Macaca fascicularis: one gene and its partners. The protein of the gene in region 1 binds, or shares a complex with, the protein of each later gene. Links are inferred from orthologs where the notes say so. Each region holds a gene or a part of one and is shown in the gene's direction. Other genes may lie near its edges. The genes, in order: SLC3A2, SLC7A10, SLC7A11 and SLC7A8.

Evidence for each region.
Region 2: the proteins of SLC3A2 (region 1) and SLC7A10 are in contact, whole or in part, in a cryo-EM structure (PDB 8WNT), measured with the Homo sapiens proteins. The link is inferred for Macaca fascicularis from reciprocal best matches to the Homo sapiens genes SLC3A2 and SLC7A10. Residues at the interface, in NP_002385.3 of Homo sapiens: Phe161, Thr162, Gly163, Leu164, Lys166, Leu169, Leu170, Val172, Ala173, Trp178, Arg182, Leu186, Phe189, Trp190, Trp193, Met196, Leu197, Ala200, Ile203, Ile204, Ala207, Pro208, Arg209, Cys210, Arg211, Glu212, Leu213, Arg534; in NP_062823.1 of Homo sapiens: Leu147, Val150, Phe151, Asn153, Cys154, Pro157, Ala160, Val163, Leu164, Met166, Ala167, Met170, Leu171, Trp174, Ser352, Val359, Glu481, Thr484, His485, Trp486, Gln488, Glu489, Leu490, Phe492, Val493, Val494, Tyr495, Gln497.
Region 3: the proteins of SLC3A2 (region 1) and SLC7A11 are in contact, whole or in part, in a cryo-EM structure (PDB 7P9V), measured with the Homo sapiens proteins. The link is inferred for Macaca fascicularis from reciprocal best matches to the Homo sapiens genes SLC3A2 and SLC7A11. Residues at the interface, in NP_002385.3 of Homo sapiens: Glu167, Leu170, Ala173, Trp178, Thr181, Arg182, Phe189, Trp190, Trp193, Met196, Leu197, Gly199, Ala200, Ile203, Ile204, Ala207, Arg209, Cys210, Glu212, Leu213, Lys299, Arg534, Gln559; in NP_055146.1 of Homo sapiens: Leu151, Phe154, Phe155, Ile156, Gln157, Cys158, Glu159, Pro161, Leu163, Ala164, Leu167, Ile168, Ala170, Val171, Thr174, Val175, Val178, Gln217, Gln219, Val360, His373, Thr487, Gln489, Ile490, Ile491, Glu493, Val494, Val495.
Region 4: the proteins of SLC3A2 (region 1) and SLC7A8 are in contact, whole or in part, in a cryo-EM structure (PDB 7CMI), measured with the Homo sapiens proteins. The link is inferred for Macaca fascicularis from reciprocal best matches to the Homo sapiens genes SLC3A2 and SLC7A8. Residues at the interface, in NP_002385.3 of Homo sapiens: Thr162, Gly163, Leu164, Ser165, Lys166, Glu167, Leu170, Ala173, Gly174, Trp178, Arg182, Leu185, Phe189, Trp190, Trp193, Met196, Leu197, Gly199, Ala200, Ile203, Ile204, Ala207, Arg209, Cys210, Arg211, Leu213, Lys532, Arg534, Asp558, Gln559; in NP_036376.2 of Homo sapiens: Leu147, Leu150, Phe151, Pro152, Thr153, Cys154, Phe155, Pro157, Ser159, Gly160, Leu163, Leu164, Ala166, Ile167, Leu170, Leu171, Trp174, Gln294, Ser352, Met356, Val359, Glu481, Thr484, Leu485, Gln488, Lys489, Met490, Cys491, Val492, Val493.

Annotation. Positions count from the first base shown.
Region 1 is NC_088388.1:11,193,836-11,199,068, reverse strand, and holds the start of SLC3A2 (amino acid transporter heavy chain SLC3A2), read left to right. Parts: upstream 1-2,045; 5' UTR 2,046-2,183; coding exon 2,184-2,295; intron 2,296-5,233. UniProt on the Homo sapiens protein: Acts as a chaperone that facilitates biogenesis and trafficking of functional transporters heterodimers to the plasma membrane.
Region 2 is NC_088393.1:40,503,410-40,508,647, reverse strand, and holds the start of SLC7A10 (asc-type amino acid transporter 1), read left to right. Parts: upstream 1-1,784; coding exon 1,785-1,935; intron 1,936-5,238. UniProt on the Homo sapiens protein: Associates with SLC3A2/4F2hc to form a functional heterodimeric complex that translocates small neutral L- and D-amino acids across the plasma membrane. Preferentially mediates exchange transport, but can also operate via facilitated diffusion.
Region 3 is NC_088379.1:143,342,882-143,347,581, reverse strand, and holds part of SLC7A11 (cystine/glutamate transporter), read left to right. Parts: intron 1-3,750; coding exon 3,751-3,866; intron 3,867-4,700. UniProt on the Homo sapiens protein: Heterodimer with SLC3A2, that functions as an antiporter by mediating the exchange of extracellular anionic L-cystine and intracellular L-glutamate across the cellular plasma membrane.
Region 4 is NC_088381.1:90,922,646-90,927,345, reverse strand, and holds part of SLC7A8 (large neutral amino acids transporter small subunit 2), read left to right. Parts: intron 1-1,947; coding exon 1,948-2,152; intron 2,153-3,052; coding exon 3,053-3,204; intron 3,205-4,700. UniProt on the Homo sapiens protein: Associates with SLC3A2 to form a functional heterodimeric complex that translocates small and large neutral amino acids with broad specificity and a stoichiometry of 1:1.

The DNA of each region.
Region 1 (5,233 bases):
AGCTGCTCCTGAATCAAAAAAATCAATCAATTAGCTAATTATCCCAAACAGCCAAAACTATTTTAGTTACGGTTGCTAGTGGACAAGCTAAGAAAAGGTAACCAAATGCCTCAGACAGGCCTCTCATGCCCTTTTTCAGTTAATCCTGGTGGGTTCACAATTACTGGTTCCCAGGCTAGAACAGGGCTGAGGCAGGATGTTTCCTCCATATTGGAGCTGAACCGTGCAAACCTACAACTGACAAGCATTAGTCTGACCCTGGGCAGATCAGTGGGCATCTATCTGAGAGAAAAAAGGGGAGGTCTGGAAACATCACTACAGAGAACAAGAGGAACCAGAAAACTTTATGGTTTAAGCAGGCTTTGGTAACAAACATCAAGATGGCTAAGTTATCAATTAGATAATAGGCCCATAGAATTAAAAAAGCAACGTACTGTAAGATAGAGGCAGATTGTCATGAGGAATACCTGGAAAGCAAAGCAAATTAGTTATTTTAAGGTATTAGGATGGAATGAAACTTATTCAAAATCAACAACTGCCATCAGAACTCTAACATGCTATTAATTTTTGTACCTCACAGAACATCAGCTTATCAATTCAAATCATCTGACAGTAAAGTGATCGATATATGGATGAGGATAACAGCGCACGCTTACAAGAACTGTAGTACCGGGTTGCGATCTCGCTTCCCAGAAAATTATCTCAAGAGGAACAAGATGGAAGGCGCCAAAAAACAAAATTGCTTCCGCCGGCCACTTGTTCTCTTGTGAACATTTACAGAGATGACATACACCAATTTGAATAATTACCTGTATTCACCCTGGGAGACAGCTGAATTCCTCAGGATTATGAGATGCTGTAGACAACAGAGGAAGGCATTTTATGTACCTAAAAATAGTCATTCAAAGACCCCTGAAGACCTCGCTGTCACTTCTCAGTAGTAAGATGACATCACTTATAAGTTCAGCCATATGCTTGTCATTTTGTGTTCATCACGGAGTGGTTATCTAGCAAGGTCTCCTCTGTAAGAGCATAAAAGCATGTACACCTACCTGGAACATTACTGTAACGCTGGCTTTGCAGAAAGATGGGTCTTGTCCCATTCCTTCACCAGTGAGCTCTTGTGGGCTAAACATCTGAAAAAATAACAGCCTTCACTAACACCTCAGACAAATCAATAAGTCCCTGACATTTATTGCGTACAGTACAGTGCTACTCAGAATTTTTGTTTTCTCCACTAATCCATCAGAAAGAGAGAGTTCAGTTTGTAAAATCATCCCCGTAGCAACTTCAACACACTCAACGAAAGAGCAGAGGTTAAGAAATGGCCATAAGAACTTACTGTAACATAGAGCTCTCTTCGATTCCAACGTGCGCGTAAACCCTGCAGACCAGAGTCCAAGAAGACATTAAGTCAACACAGGGCATTTCGAAAACGCTATCTTCTGAGCCGACGGCTAAGTAGGAGGCTTGCAGGGCCCATCTCCTCAGAGTCACTTATCCTCACGGAGCTCAGTACAGGTCTGTGAAAAGGTCCTCATCATAGGGAGGGGACCCGCAAGGCCCGCCATCGCCATCTTGTCCTTCACAAAGCCCCGCTGCTACTTAATTTAATTAAGTCTCGAGGCCACCCACAAGACCTCACCCGCCAGTCACCCTGGCTAGACAGCTACAACACAGAAGGCATAGCGCGTGCTATGCGATGTCCGCACAATCGTTCAAAATAAAAGAAACGGACAAAGCACAAAACACTGACAGCTACAAACCTTACAAAATCACTTACCAGCGGCAGTAGAACAATGAGACCGAAATTGGCACGGAGAGACGATTAAATACCATCCCGCAGAGGCCCACGGGATTTGGGGGCGGTGCTATGGCGAGCGCACGCGCATACGTTGACCGCATGCGACCCCGGGGAGTTGTGGGTAGAGAGTTCCAGGGAAGGAGGGCGTGGACAAAGCGCTACCTGAACCTGCGGCGCGAAAAGGGCGCGCATGCGTCCTACGGAACCTCACCGACCGCATTGCGGCTTAGTTTTCTCACCCAGTGCATGTGGCAGGAGCGGTGAGATCACTGCCTCACGCGGATCCTGGACTGACGGTCACGACTGCTTACCCGCTAACCCTGTTCTGAGCTCCCCCTTGCCCCCACACACCCGAAACCTGTGTGCAGGATCCGCCTCCATGGAGCTACAGCCTCCTGAAGCCTCGACCGCCGTCGTTTCGATTCCCCGCCAGCTGCCGGGCTCACATTCGGAGGCTGGTGTCCAGGGTCTCAGCGCGGGGGATGACTCAGGTACTGGATCCCGAGCTAAACTCGGGAGGAGGTCCCCTTTGGGGGAGCCATTTCGGGAAAGTAAGTCAGGGCGTAAATGCTCCACTGAAGACAGGATCTGATTTTTTTCTAACTGGTCCCCTATGTCCTGCCTTCTGGTGCGTTTTCTTTAGATCTTGGACTACTACGGGCCAGCATTAGCTAACATTTGTGGAGCACCGTTTTAAGCACACTGTATTAATCGATTAATCCATCAAAATCCCAAGAGCTAGGTAGGATGACAGCCCCCTTTATTGATGGGGAACCTTAAAGGGCTCCCGCGGTGCTGCCTGCTGCAACTCCTGCCTGATCACTATGGTTGCAGTCAGCTATAGACTGTTTTACTGAGACCGGACAGCATTAGTTCAGTGGTTCGTGGTAAACATCTACGTGTACAAGCACACTTTATAAACATTTTTTTTTTTTTCCGAGACAGAGTTCTGCTCTGTCGCCCAGAGTGCAGTGGCGGGATGTCGGTTCACTGCAACCTCTGCCTCCCAGGTTCAAGCGATTCTCCTTCCTCAGCCTCCTGAGTAGCTGGGATTACAGGCTCCCGCAATCATCAAGCCACGCTAATTTTTGTATTTTTAGGAGAGATGGGGTTTCATCACGTTGGCCAGGCTGGTCTTGAACTGCTGACCTGGTGACCTCCTGCCTCAGCCTCCCAAAGTGCTGGGATTACAGGCGTAGGCCACCACACCCGGCCTGGCTCAGCATTTTGGGAGGCCAAGGTGGGAGGATCTCTTGAACCCAAGAGTTCAAGACCAGCCTAAGCAACATAGTGAGAAACCGATACCCATCTCTACAGAAAAATAGAAAAAATTAGCCAGGAGCGGTGGTGCATGCCTGTAGCCTCAGCTACTTGGGAAGCTGAGGTGGGAGGATTGCTTGAGCCCAGGAATTTGAGGCTGTAAGTGAGTTGTGATCAAGCCACTGCACTGCACTCCAGCCTGGATGACTGAGTGAGACCCTGTCTCAAAAAAAAAAAAAAAAAAAAAAGGGGGACAGATAAACTATGGAAAATCAAGATGGCCCAGAGTAGACAGACAAGGCTGGGGAGGTTGTGAGTGGGAATGGCAGTTGGGAAATGCTTTATAGAGTGTCTGGGCCTGAAAGGGTTGAAAGACTCCGGAGGGGAATTCCAGTTAAAGAAACAACTGGAGCACAAGCTTGGTGCAAGAAAAAGAAGGAAGTGTGTGGCTACAATTCATGAAAGATGGGCAAAAGGGGAGTATTAGAATATAAAACTGGAATGTATTTCCTGGGGAAAGCCACATAAGCAGGACCTTGAGAGCAAAGCTAAATCACTTGAATCATAGATAGAAAAAAAAAACCAGGGAGAGTTTTTAAGTAGGAAAGTGATAAGACATTGGGGGATAAGATGGAGACAAGGTCATTAGTTAGATTGCCATAGTAGTTTAGGCAAGAGGATTCAATACTAGCAAGTGTAACGGCAGTGGAAGTGGAAAAGAGGGGATTTGGGTTAGGGGTCTCCAACTCACATACAGAAATCAGCTAAGTAATGTAGGTAAGTGAAATGAACTGAGTTGGGACTCTGGTGAACTGGGCAGCCCTTTCACAGCTCCAGCTGCTTGTTGCCTTGTGACAGTATTGTCTCTGTGTGATCAAATAGTTTTCAAAAGAATCCAGAAGTCCAGAATTGTGTATTTACCCACTTTAAAATGTTGAGTTTAAATTTTTTTGGCCGGGCGCGGTGGCTCATGTCTGTAATCCTAGCACTTTGGGAGGCCGAAGTGGGCGGACCACCTGAGGTCAGGAGTTAGAGACCAGCATGGCCAACATGGTGAAACCCCTTCTCTACTAAAAATACAAAAATAAGCCGGGCGTGGTGTGGGTGCGGTGGCGGGCGATTGTAATCCCAGCTACTTAGGAGGGTGAGGCAGGAGAAGCGGTTGAACCCGGGAGGTGGAAGTTGCAGTGAGCCAAGATCACCCCACTGCACTCCAGCCTGGGGGACAAGAGCGAGTCTCAAAAACAAACAAACAAAAAACTGAAATATGCCTGTGGGCCAAAGGTGGCCCTCATTGTGAGTTTGCAACCTCTTGTGCAGTGACATAGAATCTACTAGAAAATAGGGCATTTAAAAAAAAGTAGGCTAGGTAGAGCGGCTCACGCCTGTAATCCTGAAGGGGGCCAGCCCCTCCACACCTGTGGGTATTTCTCATCAGGTGGGACGAGAGACTGAGAAAATAAGACAGAGAGACAAAGTATAGAGGAAGAAAAGTGGGCCCAGGGGACCGACACTCAGCATAAGGAGGACCCGTACCGGCACCGGTCTCTGAGTTCCCTCAGCATTTATTGATCACTATCTCTACCATCTCGGTGAGGGGGATGTGGCAGGACTATAGGGTAATGGTGGGGAGAGGGTCAGCAGGAAAACATGTGAGCAAAGGACTCTGTCATAAATAAGTTTAAGGAAAGGTGCTGTGCCTCGATGTGCATGTAGGCCAGATTTATGTTTGACTTTACACAAACATCTCAGTGCAGTAAAGAGCAGTATTGTCGGCCAGGCACGGTGGCTCACGCCTGTAATCCCAGCACTGTAATCTCAGCACTTTGGGAGGCCCAGACGGGCGGATCACGAGGTCAGGAGATGGAGACCATCCTGGCTAACATGGTGAAACCCCGTCTCTACTAAAATACAAAAAAATTAGCTGGATGTGATGGCGCGCACCTGTAGTCCCAGCTACTTGGGAGGCTGAGGCAGGAGAATGGAGGGAACCCGGGAGGCGGAGCTTGCAGTGAACTGAGATTGCACCACTGCACTCCAGCCTGGGTGACAAGGCAAGACTCCCTCTCAAAAAAAAAAAAAAAAGCAGTATTGCCGCCAGCATGTCTAACCTCCATCGATAAGGCAGTTTTCTCCTATCTCAGTAAATAGAATGTAACGTACGATCAG
Region 2 (5,238 bases), on another chromosome or scaffold:
CCCCTTGGCAAGCTGCCCCTGACTGCACCAGCCCTGGCTAGACCCTCTCCCAGCAGACCCTAGAGTTGCAAGGGCAACTGAGGGGCTGGGGATAGTCAAACCAGAAGGTCGAGGCCCCTGGCCCCTAACACCCGCGACAATCAGGGGTCTCCGGAGCCAGGGCTGCTCCCAACCTGCGCGAGGCTCCTTTAAGAGATTCGGCCTCTGAATGGTCTCTGGGGCTGGAGGTGGAGGGCGCCAAGAATGCCGGACTCCGACGACAGAAGCGAGAGGGATGCAGCTTCGCCGGGTGGCCTCCCCCTCCGCGTCCACCCAGCACGTCCACCTTGGATCCTCCCGCTCCTACTCCTACCCCAAGTCCCCGCCCCCAACTTCGAAGCTCCTGTACGCCTGCAAACCCCGGCCCCGCCCCGCTCCCACCTCCACGCTCCGCCCCTGCCCGGGACCCGCCCCCGCCCCCGCCCCTTCCCACCCGGGTCCACCCTGCGGCCGTCGGACCCCTGGCAGGGACCCAGCAAACCCAGAGGCCGCCACTGGGGGGGAGGACGGGGCGCCCGGCGCGGCCTCATCCACATGCAGGGGACGGCGCGTCGCGGCGGCCGCCAGGAAGAAACAAAGGCTGTTCCGCCGCCGGCAGCACCGTGCCAGGCTCGCCCCGCCCGCCGCCCCGGTGGCCCCGACGCGGCCCTCCTGGATCTGCTCCGCCGGCCTCAACTGCACAGTCCGGACGGCTTCCGGGAGGAGGCAGCCTCCCTCGGATCCCGGCACGCCCGACCCTCTCCCGCGACCACAGCCTCCTTCTCCATGTCCCCCCAGGCATTCAGGTCGCCTGGCCTCCTTGAGCCGGGCTGGATCGCGGGGGACCGGCACCAGAGACACGAGTTCTAGTCCGCTGAGCCCTCACTCTGACCTGGGACGAGGATCCAGTAGTGGGGACCTCGGGCCAGAGGTGGCCCAGAGCCTGGTGGGGTGGGAGAGCAGTGTCCAGGACTCCTCACGGGCCTTGAGTCCCTGTGATGAGAATGAGGGCCCCCGAGATCTTCACCTCGACCCTCAGGCCTTTGATCCAGGGTGCATAGGACACCCAGACCCCTCAGAGGAGTTCCAGACCTCAACCCCCACCCCTCCTGAGGTTGTCCGCCTGGGAGCCAAGGGGGCACGAGGAAGGGTTTGGCCTCAGCCCTGCACTTGCTTGGCGATCGCTACTAATCTTTGGGCCTCAACTTCCGCCTGTAGAATGGACTCACCCTGGGAGCTGTCTCCTACACACACACACACACAGACACACACACACACACCCCATGCAGGCATGGAGTACGAAAGGGAGCACGCACTGGATGCCCACATGCGGCCAGCTCCTATTCTTGCCGTCCCCCTCGGCCTCCCTGAGCGCAGGGATTGTCTTGTCTCGGAGCTCTGCTCCCCTACCCCGCCCCAAGAATGGATGTAACTCAGGCAACTGGAGGGTCCCTTCCTTCGCCCAACTGGGAAGTCCTTCCTAGATCTGCCCCAAGTCCTCTCCTTCCTTCCCAGGCCGGGACTGGGGGAGGGGGCGTTCCCTTTAAGGGAGGCGGGGGAGGGGGCTGCGGGCCGGCCCTCCTTCCGCCCCTCCCGGGCCCCCGCCACCCGGGGGCCCCAGTCCCGGGCCCCGCGCCAGCGCATGCGCCCGCCTGTGGGCGCTGTCCCGACTGCGAGGGCCGTGAGCTCACCGACCGACAAACGGACGGGCGGCCGGCCGGACAGACGGGGCAGCGCAGGGAGCGGGAACGCGGCGGGACAGCGACATGGCCGGCCACACGCAGCAGCCGAGCGAGCACGGGAACCCCAGCCCTGCGCCCTCGCCCTCCCCGGTCCCAGGCCCCGTCCCCGGCGCCTCGGAACGAGTGGCGCTCAAGAAGGAGATCGGGCTGCTGAGCGCCTGCACCATCATCATCGGTGAGCGGGACCCAGGTGGGCGGGCGCCGGGCGGGCGGAGGCCGAACGAGGGGCGCCGCCTCTCCGGGAGCTCGGACGGGTCTGCCTGGGGAACCTGCTCTGGCCTCAGAGAGCGCTACGACTGCTGGGAGGGCAGGGGCTGCTGGCCCAGGGTGCCAAAGCTCCGTGTTCCCACCTCCCTGCCGCCTATACCTGGGGGAGTTTTGGGTCCGTCCACCGCTGGACTCTTCCTCCTGACTCGATTTTGCTGCGGGGCTTTTGCAAGGCAGTTACCCTCAGTTTCCTCATCTGTGAAATGGCCATGACCGCAGTCCTGCAATTAGCGCAGGAACTTGACCAGTGTAGGGGCTGGTCAGGCTGCGGCAGGCTGAGCTCCCCAAGTTCTGGACTGTGGGTCGTCAGTCTGAGTACCTACTGTGGGCAGGGTCCAGGTGCCACGCAGTGCAGTGACTTATTCTTGGAAAGCAGGAGGGCCTGTGAGTAGAGTGAACAAGCTCGCAGCCGGCGCAGAGGGGACGGATGTTCAGAGCAGGCAATGACTGCAGGGTTTGGCAGCAGGGCCCAGGAGAGGGAGCGGGTTAGCCAGCAATTGGGGGAAGGGGGCAGCAGTGGGCAGACCCAGCCTGCAGAAGGCCGGCTGCTCCCTGGGCTGGGATCCTGGTGGGCACTGGGCACTCGCCTGGTCTGGAGGCCCTGGACTCCAAAGTCTCCCTCTGAGAATGGGTCCAAAGTCCCCACCTGAGAATGGGTCCATGTCCTCCTGCCCCCACATAGGGGTTTCTGGGTAGGCAGAGAGCTCAGGGGTCATGGGAATGGCAGTGGTATTTTTCCACTCTGTCCCAAGTCATGGATACTGACTAATCCAGACTTATTTCTTTGTCTACACAGGGTGCCTCTGAGCCCCTCCAGGGAGGGACAGGAGAGATGGTTTGGGGGGATGAGTAACTGGGGCCTCGACTGTTCTCACCTTACTGCCAGCCAGTCTTCCTGGTCCCCTGCCAGTGTGAGCCGCTTGTGTCTTCACTGTCCTCCTACCCTCAGACCCCTGGAGATGGAGAAAGTTTGGAGGCTTAGTAGGGCAGACCCAGCATCTTCACCTCGTCCTCTCCCACCCCCACATTAGCAGCTCTTCCCATCCAGAGTCGCCCCTGAACACAGCCCCTGGCCAGGTCACTCCACCATCTCACCGCCTCCCCTTAGAATGCTGCCTCCTGGGCCGGGCACGGTGGCTCAAGCCTGTAATCCCAGCACTTTGGGAGGCCGAGACGGGCGGATCACAAGGTCAGGAGATCGAGACCATCCTGGCTAACACGGCGAAACCCCGTCTCTACTAAAAACACAAAAAATTAGCCGGGCGAGGTGGCGGCGCCTGTGGTCCCAGCTACTCGGGAGGCTGAGGCAGGAGAATGGCGGGAACCCGGGAGGCGGAGCTTGCAGTGAGCTGAGATCTGGCCACTGCACTCCAGCCTGGGCGACAGAGCGAGACTCCGTCTCAAAAAAAAAAAAAAAAAAAAGAATGCTGCCTCCTAGAACCTGGTCCGGACCTGGCCCTGGGAGCTTCTTGGCCTAGGATGCCCCTGCCTGACAGACGGTCTGCTGGAAGGAAGGGCTGGTTCTAGGGATTTGGCCAGGGTGCTGGTTAGAGCTTTTTCTTGGCCCACACCCCCTCCAGGAACTGTCCTCCAGGGAAGGGGAAGCTCACACCATGAGTGGGTCATAGGATTGAGACCAGGCCTAGAGCCAGCTACAGCGCCAGGCAGGTGCAGAGAGACACAGCTCTGCCTGGGCTCCTCAGCTAAGCCCAGCATCCTTGACCTGTCTTCCTACTCTATCCCCTCCCCACATCCCATCCTCCCCAGGCCACAGGGAGGCTGCCTGGCTCCTCTCTTCCCAGAAGGGGGCCCCAGTGGTGGTGGTGGTGGTGGTGGCGGCGGTGACAGTGGTGGTGGTGGTGGTGGTGGTGGAGGTGGTGGTGGTGGTGGTGGTGGAGGTGGTGGTGGTGGGAGTGGAGAAGGTCAACTCCACCATCACCCCCTCCTTTTCTAGGACAGACTCTAAGTTTCCCATGCAGCCCAGGTCTGCCCTGACAGCTCCCCCACCCTTCAGTTCCTTCCTGCTGTGCCAAGTCCACCACCTTGGCCTCCAAACCTTGAAGACTGAGCCAGGGTGAAGGGCCACTTGGCCAACCAATTCAGCTACAGAACCCAAGCCCAGGGCACTCAGTGGTGGTCTTGGGGAGCCTTGGTCTTGGCCTGGCCTGGGGAGCCTTGGAGGGTTACAGCAGGCAGGAAGCTGGACGGGGCAGGAAAAAACAAGGAGAGATCGACCTCAACCAGAAGGTGATAGGAGGTGGGGACTGGGCAGATGAGGACTGAGCTGGGGTCTGCACTGCCTTCCCCACCTTAAGTCCTAAGGGTCTCCCCTCCCCAGCCCACCCTACCTTTCTGCCCCAGGTGGGCTCACTCTCTCTCCACCAATACACTGGGGAGCCTGGTCAGAATCAAAAATGTCTGCAAAGTGTCATATTTTAGCTCTAAAAGTCTTAAAAACTTGACATCCTGCTTCATCTTTCTTTCTTTCCTTCTTTCTCTCTTTCTCTTTCTTTCTTTCTCTCTCTCTTTTTCCCTCCCTCCCTCTCTCTCTCTCTCTCTTTCTCTCTTCTTTCTTTCTCTTTTTTTTTTCTGAGACAGAGTCTGGCTGTGTCCCCCAGGCTGGAGTGCAGTGCCGCAATCTTAGCTCATTGCAACCTCCGCCTCCAGGGTTCAAGTAATTCTCCTGCATCAGCCTCCTGAGTAGCTGGGATTACAGGCACGCACCACTGTATCCAGCTAATTTGTTGTATTTTCAGTAGAGACAGAGTTTTACCATGTTGGCCAGGCTGGTCTTGAACTCCTAACCTCAAGTGATCTGCCTGCCTCGGCCTCCCAAAGTGCTGGGATTACAGGTGTGAGCCACCCTGCCCAGCCAATGTCCTGCTTCATAATCTACCTTGGTTTGTTACTATTACTGAACATGTTATTTCCAAAACTTCCACAGCGACCCTCCCAGGAGATCCTATCACTCTCTCCCACATATACCCTCTGCTCCAGCTCAGACTGGGAAGTGAGGCTTTCGAAAATGGGAAGACCTGGAAGAGCAGGCTATGGGCCGGCGTGAGACTCACGTCAAGTGTGTTTAGGGCAGTGCCCGCCAGCCACCGCAAGCGCAGATGGAAGGGAATCGGCCAGGCTGGAGGAAATAGAACTGGCTGGGGCAGGGGCTCTGCAGGACGTGGTCACATCCAACATTTGTTCAGAAAAACAC
Region 3 (4,700 bases), on another chromosome or scaffold:
CTCTTTGACACTTCTAGGAGAAAGATGCTTACCTGAAAGCATATGAACATGAAAATTCACCTGGATACCTTTTGACCAACTAGACAAATTAAATATTATACTAGGAATTGGAATTTTCTCTTATTGTAGATTATATCACTAAGGCATTTAACTTTACTTAGTCATTGTGATGAAGACCCTTCTGTGCCTGACAACTTAATTGGTCACCAAGGCTTATACTTTATAGAAAACAGAGTTTGCATGACAGAGTCAAATGACTCATTTCCTTATGTTAAACAAATCAGGAACTACAGCTCCAAACGCCTTTTTTGATTTTATTGTTGTAACAATGTGTTTACATTCCTGCTTGTCTCAGTTTAAAATCAAACTGAATAGTGCCAAGTCACTCTGAATAGCAAATTTCCTTCAACTTTGTGGGAAGCTTATGATGTCATGTGAGCATTTCAGAGTATCACAGTTTCTTAAGGCTAATTACTTCTATAAAATGTGATGTGGACATTCTGATTACAGAATTTAATGGATATTACTAGGGAAACTTGCTCTTATCAAACTTACCAAACATACATGATTGAGAGCTCATGTGAGCTTTTATGGCTAAGTGCTAATAAGTGCTAGTTAGTACTGACTTAACACTAATCATGAGTTTTACAGTGTTAGAAGTCTTTTTTTTTAACAGAAAAAATATCTTCAAAGTAGTATATACTTCATGAAGTCTTTTTCATTTTAAACAACTCTGCATTATTTAAAATTGTTATAATGATATAATAATAAGTATTTTTTCCCTTTTCTAAAATTCCTGTATCAGGAATGTACTTTCTGTTCCTTTTTGGTTATCTGAATCTTATCTGCTCTTCAAAGGTCATCTTAAATCCTATCTTTCTCATAATTAATTTCCAGTTTATTCTAATTTGTTATTTCTTTCATCTCTAAATTCTTCTGAAAATGCTATCTCTGCTTCACATTTGACATTGAACATGATACCTTCTATTCTTCCTTAATATTTTAGATGTCTGTATTTTGTTTCCCTTTTAAAACTGCCAACCTTTCAAGCATATAAAGATACGATCTTTTTGTAACCTGTATAGCACTTAGGTCAGTGCCCTTTTTTCGGCATATATTAAATTATTTTTGAATAAGTAATTGAAAGTTTAAAGTTACAATATATTGTGTATAACATACTCAGCATTCAAATACATGTACTCCTTATTTAGACTGCTGACCTGTCAGGCTGGTGGGCTTTGGGGCTTAATACAGTTGGACTTGACTCCATCTTCAGCCATGTATTAGTGTGTAACTTTGGCTCATTGCTTGGCATTATGATGAACACAATCATTCCATATAAATATAGCTTATATCTTATGGTAGCACAGATAAAATATACATCTATTAATTTATTTATTCCACAATCTGCCACTGAATGGTAAATGACAATAGAAAGAGATCTAAAGTGAAATCAGTCATGATTTCTGCTCCCAGGTAGCTGATAATCACTTATTACTTTAATTAAAAAAAAAACAAACTACTTTTCTCTGTGTGTGTGTGTGTGTGTGTGTGTGTGTGTGTGTGTGTGTCTGTGGACAGAGGAAAGTACCTTTGTATTCTAGAAGATTTAAAATATGCTTATGTATCTCTTTGTCATAACATACTGATTTTGCTGAGTTGGCCTTTTAAATATGTAGAATAACAAATATCATGAGGAGGGACAAGATATCTAAGTATTTAAACACTTCTCTTCTTTTGCTAATACCCATAGTTCCTAAGTACTTCACATTAAAATTATACCTTTAGATTAAGTTTGTATTGCCAGAAATAATCTGTAAAACACAGATTTCAAGGAGAGAAATATTACCTATCATTACACAGCAGGGGTCATTAAACCGAATTTGCGTGTTCACTCTATATTTAATATATATTGGGTTTCTACTATATGTTAGACACTGCGCTAAACACTGGAGATAAAATTGTGGTTAAGATAGATACGATTTTGTACCCTTAGAGCTCCGAGTCAAGTGGGAGGAAATCATTATCAGCTGAGAAATCACATAGGTAAATATAAAATTGCTACTGTGATAAGCACTGTGGAAGACAGGCCAAGGACTTCAGTATGAATATACTCCAAGAGATCTGGCCCAGTCAGAGGCTGGAGAAGCTTTCCCTGGCAAAGGAAAATTGAACCAAGATCTGAAGTTTATAGCATAGTCAATGAGTTGCAGAGGCTGCAGGCAGAGAAGATTCATATCCTTCTAGTGGGAGGAAGCTAACTGAAGAAATAAGGAGAGCTTAGACCAGATGGAGCCTTGAATGCAATGTGAAGGAGTTTTGCATTTCCTGAACATATTTTGAAAGCACTAAAATGACATGATCAGATCTTAAATTATACATCAAAAATTGTATAAATGATGGAGAATAGGATAAACAGTTTTGTTTGGGGAAGATGGGAGGGTGTCTAGGAAAAGAAGAAAATCAAAAACCTTATGCTGCTCTCCAGTATCAGCCAGCCAAAGTTGACAACATGTAATGGTGGTTGGTTTTCTGATAATCTATGGATCAGGCATGAATGTTGGGTAACTACGAGAAGAAAGAGAAGCTAAAAAGGAAGTTTGACATAAGAAATTAGATAATTGCCGGGGGGCGCAGTGACTCATGGCTGTAATCCCAGCACTTTGGGAGGCTGAGGCAGGTGGATCACCAGGTCAGGAGTTCAAGACCAGCCTGACCAATATGGTGAGACCCCGTCTGTACTAAAAATACAAAAAATTAGCCAGGCATGGTGGCTTGTGCCTGTAATCCCAGCTACTCAGGAGGCTGAGGCAGGAGAATTGCTTGAACATGGGAGGCGGAGGTTACAGTGAGCTGAGATCGTGCCACTACACTCCAGTCTAGGCAACAGAGTGAGACTCCATTTCAGAAAAAAAAAAAAAAAAGAAATTAGATAATTGCACAGACTTGCATGTTTATGGAAAAAATATGCATTCATATATACATACATCTAAAATGAAAAGGTCTGTGCAATTTTCTCATAAAAATATTTGAAGAATTAAAATAGAAGGATGTATTACCTATATTTCTATATACTTGAATTTATTTCATATTCTTGTCCCATTTATATTTACTTAATTGTATAAGATTATAATAAATATATTATTTTTAAATTTATACTTTATATCTGATTGTTACTATAGGAGTAAGAATAATCACTTGACTTTGAGTTTTTGTCTGTACAGAAAAAATAAGAGTAAAACAACATCAAGTATTTAGGCATGTATTTCCAGAGAATACGTAATACTAATTTTTTAGGTTGAGTATTGTGTTCATTCTTTAGACTATGCCTTGACACATTAGATCTGTATGGCATTAACTAATTCATAATATGGCTGAAGTTTATTTACTGACTTTTTGAGAAAGAAGATGGCTTCCTGTAAGCCTAGCTCTGTCAAGCTCTTATGTAATAAGCCGGATTTTGAAGGAAAAGTCAAATATGGGAGAGCAGGGGAAAAGTTGGTAGTACTTACCCTTGTTCCCAAGAATATGTGAAGTTTAAAAACTAGCCACCAATGTTATAGGAAATATTTCATTTGGAATGTCTATGACAACCTAATCAAGTATGGAATTCTGAAAACTATAGACTTTCATATTTAACATGTTGCATATGCTAAATACACTCAAGGTAGAAAAATCTAATGAAATTAAATTTAATAAAAATGCTATTTTTCCCCCTGTGGTTAATCTAAATATATACATTTTTTTTAGCCCTGCAGCTACAGCTGTGATATCCCTGGCATTTGGACGCTACATTCTGGAACCATTTTTTATTCAATGTGAAATCCCTGAACTTGCGATCAAGCTCATTACAGCTGTGGGCTTAAGTGAGTATTATAGCTATATATGTAAAAAAGGAAAAAAACAACACAAAAATGATTGAATACAAAGTGTCTTTAGACTTTTTGCATTGTAGGGTTGCCTCTCACGTCATGTTCTTCTTGCTTACAGTTCCAAATTTCTGCTGGAAGGATTTGGAGTGACATCCAATATTGTATTCCACGCCAGTTTTGTATTTGGCCAATAGATATGATGGCTAATCTTTTTAAATAGTAAAAATCACCTTACTAGTAAAATATTAAGTCGGTTATACATGAACAAGACTTTTAAAGAGGAAACCCCAATTATTTTAGAGATTATTTAATTGGAAATTAGCTATATATTGAATTATATCTTATGTGTATTCGTGGAGTTACCTTTATGTAGTGGGTGTGTAAGTTGTGTTTATACATTTTGTAGTGTTAGCAGCTGTCACTCCCAGTGTTATAATGTTAGCTGCCTGTTGTTGGTCATGAAAAGAGTTTTCTTTCAAGATTGATTATTAATAGTGTTTTCCAACTAGATTTCTTTATGGTCTCCAAATTGAGAAGTTGTTCATCTTTTATCAATGGGCACAAATATTCATTGATTTAAAAAAGAAACAAAAAGAACATGAACAAAATTACATGAGTGATATGAAGCCATATATGACTCTAATTCCCCAAAAGATGCCAGGTACTAAATCCTTAAATATGGGAAAGGATAACTTAATTCTGGGTGCCATTTGAATCACTGTCTTAATCAATATGATCACATTTAACCGAGTTTTAGCTACTTATAAAGAGAAAGCTACACTAACTGAATTGCATAATCATGGAAGAATTTTTAGTTTGTATGGCTAA
Region 4 (4,700 bases), on another chromosome or scaffold:
TTTGATAATTTCCTGCTAGGCAAGGAATTTACTATCGTCTTTCACCACTATTAGCAAACCTGTCTCTAGATCTGTCATTTCCCAGCACTTGATGTCTTTCAGGGAACAGCAGTTTGGCAGGCAAAGAATCATTTGACAGGGGGAACGTGTCCTAAATCCTGGAATACTACAAGCAGGTCTTTTAGTCTCTACTAACCTAGTACTTCTGAACAGACCATATGGGGACTGTCTGAGAGAGGAGGCTGAAAGATGTCCTGTTGTCCTATTGTAGAACTTTACATAAACCTACAAGAAGAGGAGAAGTCTGTAAGGATTGGTGGCACTCAGAATCTCCTTTTTCTATCTTCTCTTTGCCTGATAGTTATATCACTAATTTGATGATGAGGAATTATTTTTCTTAGTTTCATTTCTATAAGCAGCCCCTTTCTGTTGCGAAAGACTGTTAGCACCAAAATTAGGAAGACATATTTGAGACAAATATGTGCTTCCTTTTCATCTGTATCTAACTTCAGCCTGTGCCCCCTGATTCTATATTTCAGTCTCAGGGCTAGATTGAGGTTGTGTTATGGTTGAGATCTGAGCGTCAGTTTTTGAAAGCTGAGCATAGGATTTACAATCTCCATCTCACTGGTTCCAGACCACTACAGAGAGATCGTGGAGGCTTGAGATGTCCTTAGAACACAGTCAAATCCAGCTGACCTCAGGGTACTCTAGCTCTGCCTTTCCACCTGGATCCATTTGGTCTCTGCTCCTTTCCTTAGGCATTTAGTGGTGCAGCTGGGCAGAGCATGAAGCAGCACTTTCAAAGCACCCACCCAATGGACCTTGATGATCTATTTTATCACAAGAAGTGGACATGGGAACAGTTGGGAAGAAGCATGTCAGGAACAGCCTCCACACTCCTGTTCCTCCTCTGCATAACACACACAACCCAGCAGCCAGCCATTCAATACTGGCTGTGGGCCTCACCTCTCAGGAGAAAGCCAGCCCCTGCACACAAGCAGAAGTGGATTAGTGGAAAGAGCGCTGGATTAAGTATCAGGAGACTGACTTCTAGATCCAATTTTACCCATCAGTAGCTGTGGAATTTGGAGAAAGCCACTTAACCCCTCTATGTCTTAATCTCTTCGTTTGTAAAACAGAGAGGGAAGTACCTGCCTCTCTCCTCTCCCTGAATTCCATAAGGTTGTTTTGAGGGTCACATGAAACATTGGTGGGTAACGACTTTTGAAAGAATATAGTACTGAGGCTTTGTATGTATTGCATTCCTACACACCACTTCTAAACTACTAGCACTGTTTTTATAGTTATTTTATGTTCTTCACCAAGGGTGGGGCCGTCATGTCTAGGGTAGAAGCCAGCCTCCAGGAATGTTTTCCACACTCATAAGTCTTGAAAACCCCCAATCTTGGGGTGTGACCACAATCTGTTCAAAAAAGATTGTCTTTTGGCTCATTTTTGAAGCCTTCCAGTGGGCAGGTGTTCTCTGAAAACAGTCCACTTTTCCAGCCCTGCCATTTTCAGAGCCTTGAGGCCCTTGTCACTTTGGGTGGACCACATGTCTCTCAGCTGGAGGGTCCTGAGATTCGATACTTCACCATCACTTACTGCAATGTGGACCTAGGCAACTCACTTGGTATCTCTGAGACTCAGTTTCCTCCTCTGTAAAATATGAGAAATGATATCTGATTCCATAGTGTCGTCCTGAGGATTAAATGAGATGTGGAAAGTACCTGACCAAGTTCCTAGTCAATATGTGTCAGTTCTCTGCTCCTCTTTACCCTACTTCAGGGAGAATTATTGCTAGACACACCTGCCTGCAGATAATTTACGTATCTCCAGGGCATTTCAGAATCAGATCGGAGATGAGACCACCCTCCAAACGCCAATCCTGCCAACCATCCTGTCTCTACTGTCTCCCCTTCTTACCCTTGGTGTCCCATGCAGGGAACATCATCGGCTCTGGAATCTTTGTCTCGCCAAAGGGCGTGCTGGAGAATGCCGGTTCTGTGGGCCTTGCGCTCATCGTCTGGATCGTGACAGGCTTCATCACAGTTGTGGGAGCCCTCTGCTATGCTGAACTCGGGGTCACCATCCCCAAATCTGGAGGTGACTACTCCTATGTCAAGGACATCTTCGGAGGACTGGCTGGGTAAGAGGATCTGTGGAGACCCTAATGGTCTAGGGGAAAAGGAGGAAGACATTCAGAAGGAGGTCAGATCGGGAAAAGCCAACGCTAGGAGTTTCCAGTCTCCAGTGTGCCAGGGGGTGCTAGAGAATGGAATGTCTCTTTTGCTTTCCTGCCATGGTTGCTAGTGTAGCCTTGTGTCCCCTCGAGGCTTCTGAGAATGATGGAGGGACCAGTTTTGTAGTTTTGACCTCTATGTTGATCTTGGTGGGAAGGATGCTATGAGTGAGAGCAAACAGAACTGTGTAACAACACTGACCATAGATTCCCAGAGAAAGCACATCACAAAAACAAAGCTCTTCTATCTTGACAAGTGAGAGCGGCCACCTAAGGTAGAGTGTAACCTCTTCTCACACTACCAAGGATAATGGCCTCCCTCTAGAGTTGGGCCCTAATCTTAAATTTCCTCAATTTCTGCACCCCTGCCATTGGTAAACCCTCACCAATGGGCCAAAGGGTGTGGAAGGCACTTCCCCTGCAAACCTCCACTTGATACCTCTCCTGTTTGTTGCTTCTGTAACCACACACTTAGTATGTCCTGTCTATCAACATTCAGCGGTTGCAAATTTTGTTTTTCCACCATTGGATGCTGGTGGCCACAGTGATGGAGAAGAGATGATGAAAGGAGAGAAGGAAAGAATGCCAAGACTTGTGTTAGTGCTTGTGGAAATTTAGCTCTTCATCATTAAACCATTTTATTGTCATTGCAGAGGGCTGGGTGTCTCATTTGTGGGTGGGGGCAGAGGCTGGGCTCTTCAGCATCTCTGAAAATAAAAAAGAGATGCATGACTTGCCCGGGCTCTCCCCTGATGGCTCTGCATCCCTGCCATGCCTGTTGGCGGGGATGTCCCATTCCTCCTTCAGGTTCCTGAGGCTGTGGATTGCTGTGCTGGTGATCTACCCCACCAACCAGGCTGTCATTGCCCTCACCTTCTCCAACTACGTGCTGCAGCCGCTCTTCCCCACCTGCTTCCCCCCAGAGTCTGGCCTTCGGCTCCTGGCTGCCATCTGCTTATGTAAGTGTCATCTGGGTCTTCGTAGCAAGACAGCCTCTTTTATTATATTTATTATTATTATTTTTAGAACAGAGTCCTCTGTCACTCAGCCTGGAGTGCAATCACACGATCACAGCTCACTGCAGCCTTGAATTCCTGGGCTCAAGTGATCCTCCTGCCTCGGCCTCCCAAAGTGTTGTGGTTACAGGTGTGAGCCACTGTGCACGGTCTGAGGGATGCCTCTTTTAGCCTCCCTGGTGGTCTATATGTCTCTGACTCTCCTTCCTTCTCTCCTTTTTTTTTGGAGGCAGGGTCTCACTCTGTCTCCCAGGCTGGAGTGCAGTGGCGTGATCTCCATTCACTGCAACCTCCGTCTCCCAGGTTCAAGCAATTCTCCCACCTCAGACTCCCAAGTTGCTGGGATTACAGGCGTGAGCCACCATGCCCGGCTAATTTTTGTATTTTTTGTAGAGATGGGATTTCACCATGTTGGCCAGGCTGGTTTTGAACTCCTGGCCTCAAGTGATCCGCCCACCTTGGCCTCCCAAAGTGCTGGGATTACAGGCCTGAGCCACCTCACCCTGCCTCCTTTTCTTTTCCCCATTACTTTTCTTTCAGTTTCCTACAAGTGTGTTTTGTATGAATGGATTCTGCATACAATTGTCTGGTGAAAAAAAAAAAAAGACAGACAGACAGAAAGAAAGAGAGAGAGAGAAAGAAGAAAGAATGAAAGAAAGAAAGAAAGAAAGAAAGAAAGAAAGAAAGAAAGAAAGAAAGAAAGAAAGAAAGAAAGAAAGAAAGAAAGAAAGAAACTTAAGTAGCTCCTTGGAGGCACTGTAATTTTCACTGGCCGGGTCAAAGCACTTTCACCTATATTATCTGATTTGGGCCTAATGACAAGTCCATGAGGTAAGCTGGGCCAGTATTAACATTTTCCCAGAACAGATAAGGAAACAGAGAGCCAGGCAAGTGACTTGCCCAGGGAGGCAGGCCGCATGGAGTGCAAGGGCTCCTGATTTCTTGTCTGTCCAGTACACTGCACTGTGCTGGCTACTCCCAGCTGCTCCTAGGAAGATTACTCTGGCTTCATGGCAGTAGTTCTACATCTACTTCTACCTCAACTTGTCAAGTCACACTTTTTTAAATCTCTTGGAGAAGAGTTTGTCCATGGTCCCTGCCCTTCATGAGTTTTCTAACTAGGAGAAAAGCCATATAGATGGATACTGTGGTTAGGATTCAATTGCAGTAAAAATTCAGAGAAGGGAGCTAGGCATGGCGGTGCACACCATAGTTCCAGCTACCTGGGAGGCTGAGGTAGGAGGGTTGCTTGACCCTGGGAGTTCTGGGTTATAGTGAGCTTGATCACACCTATGAATAATAGCCACTGCACTCCAGCCTGGGCAACATAGTGAGATCCTGTCTCTAAAAAAAAAAAAAAAGAAAGAAAGAAAAAAAAAGAAAAGAAAAAAAATTAAAAACAACAGGAACAGTAAAATTCAGAGAAGGGGAAAAGATCT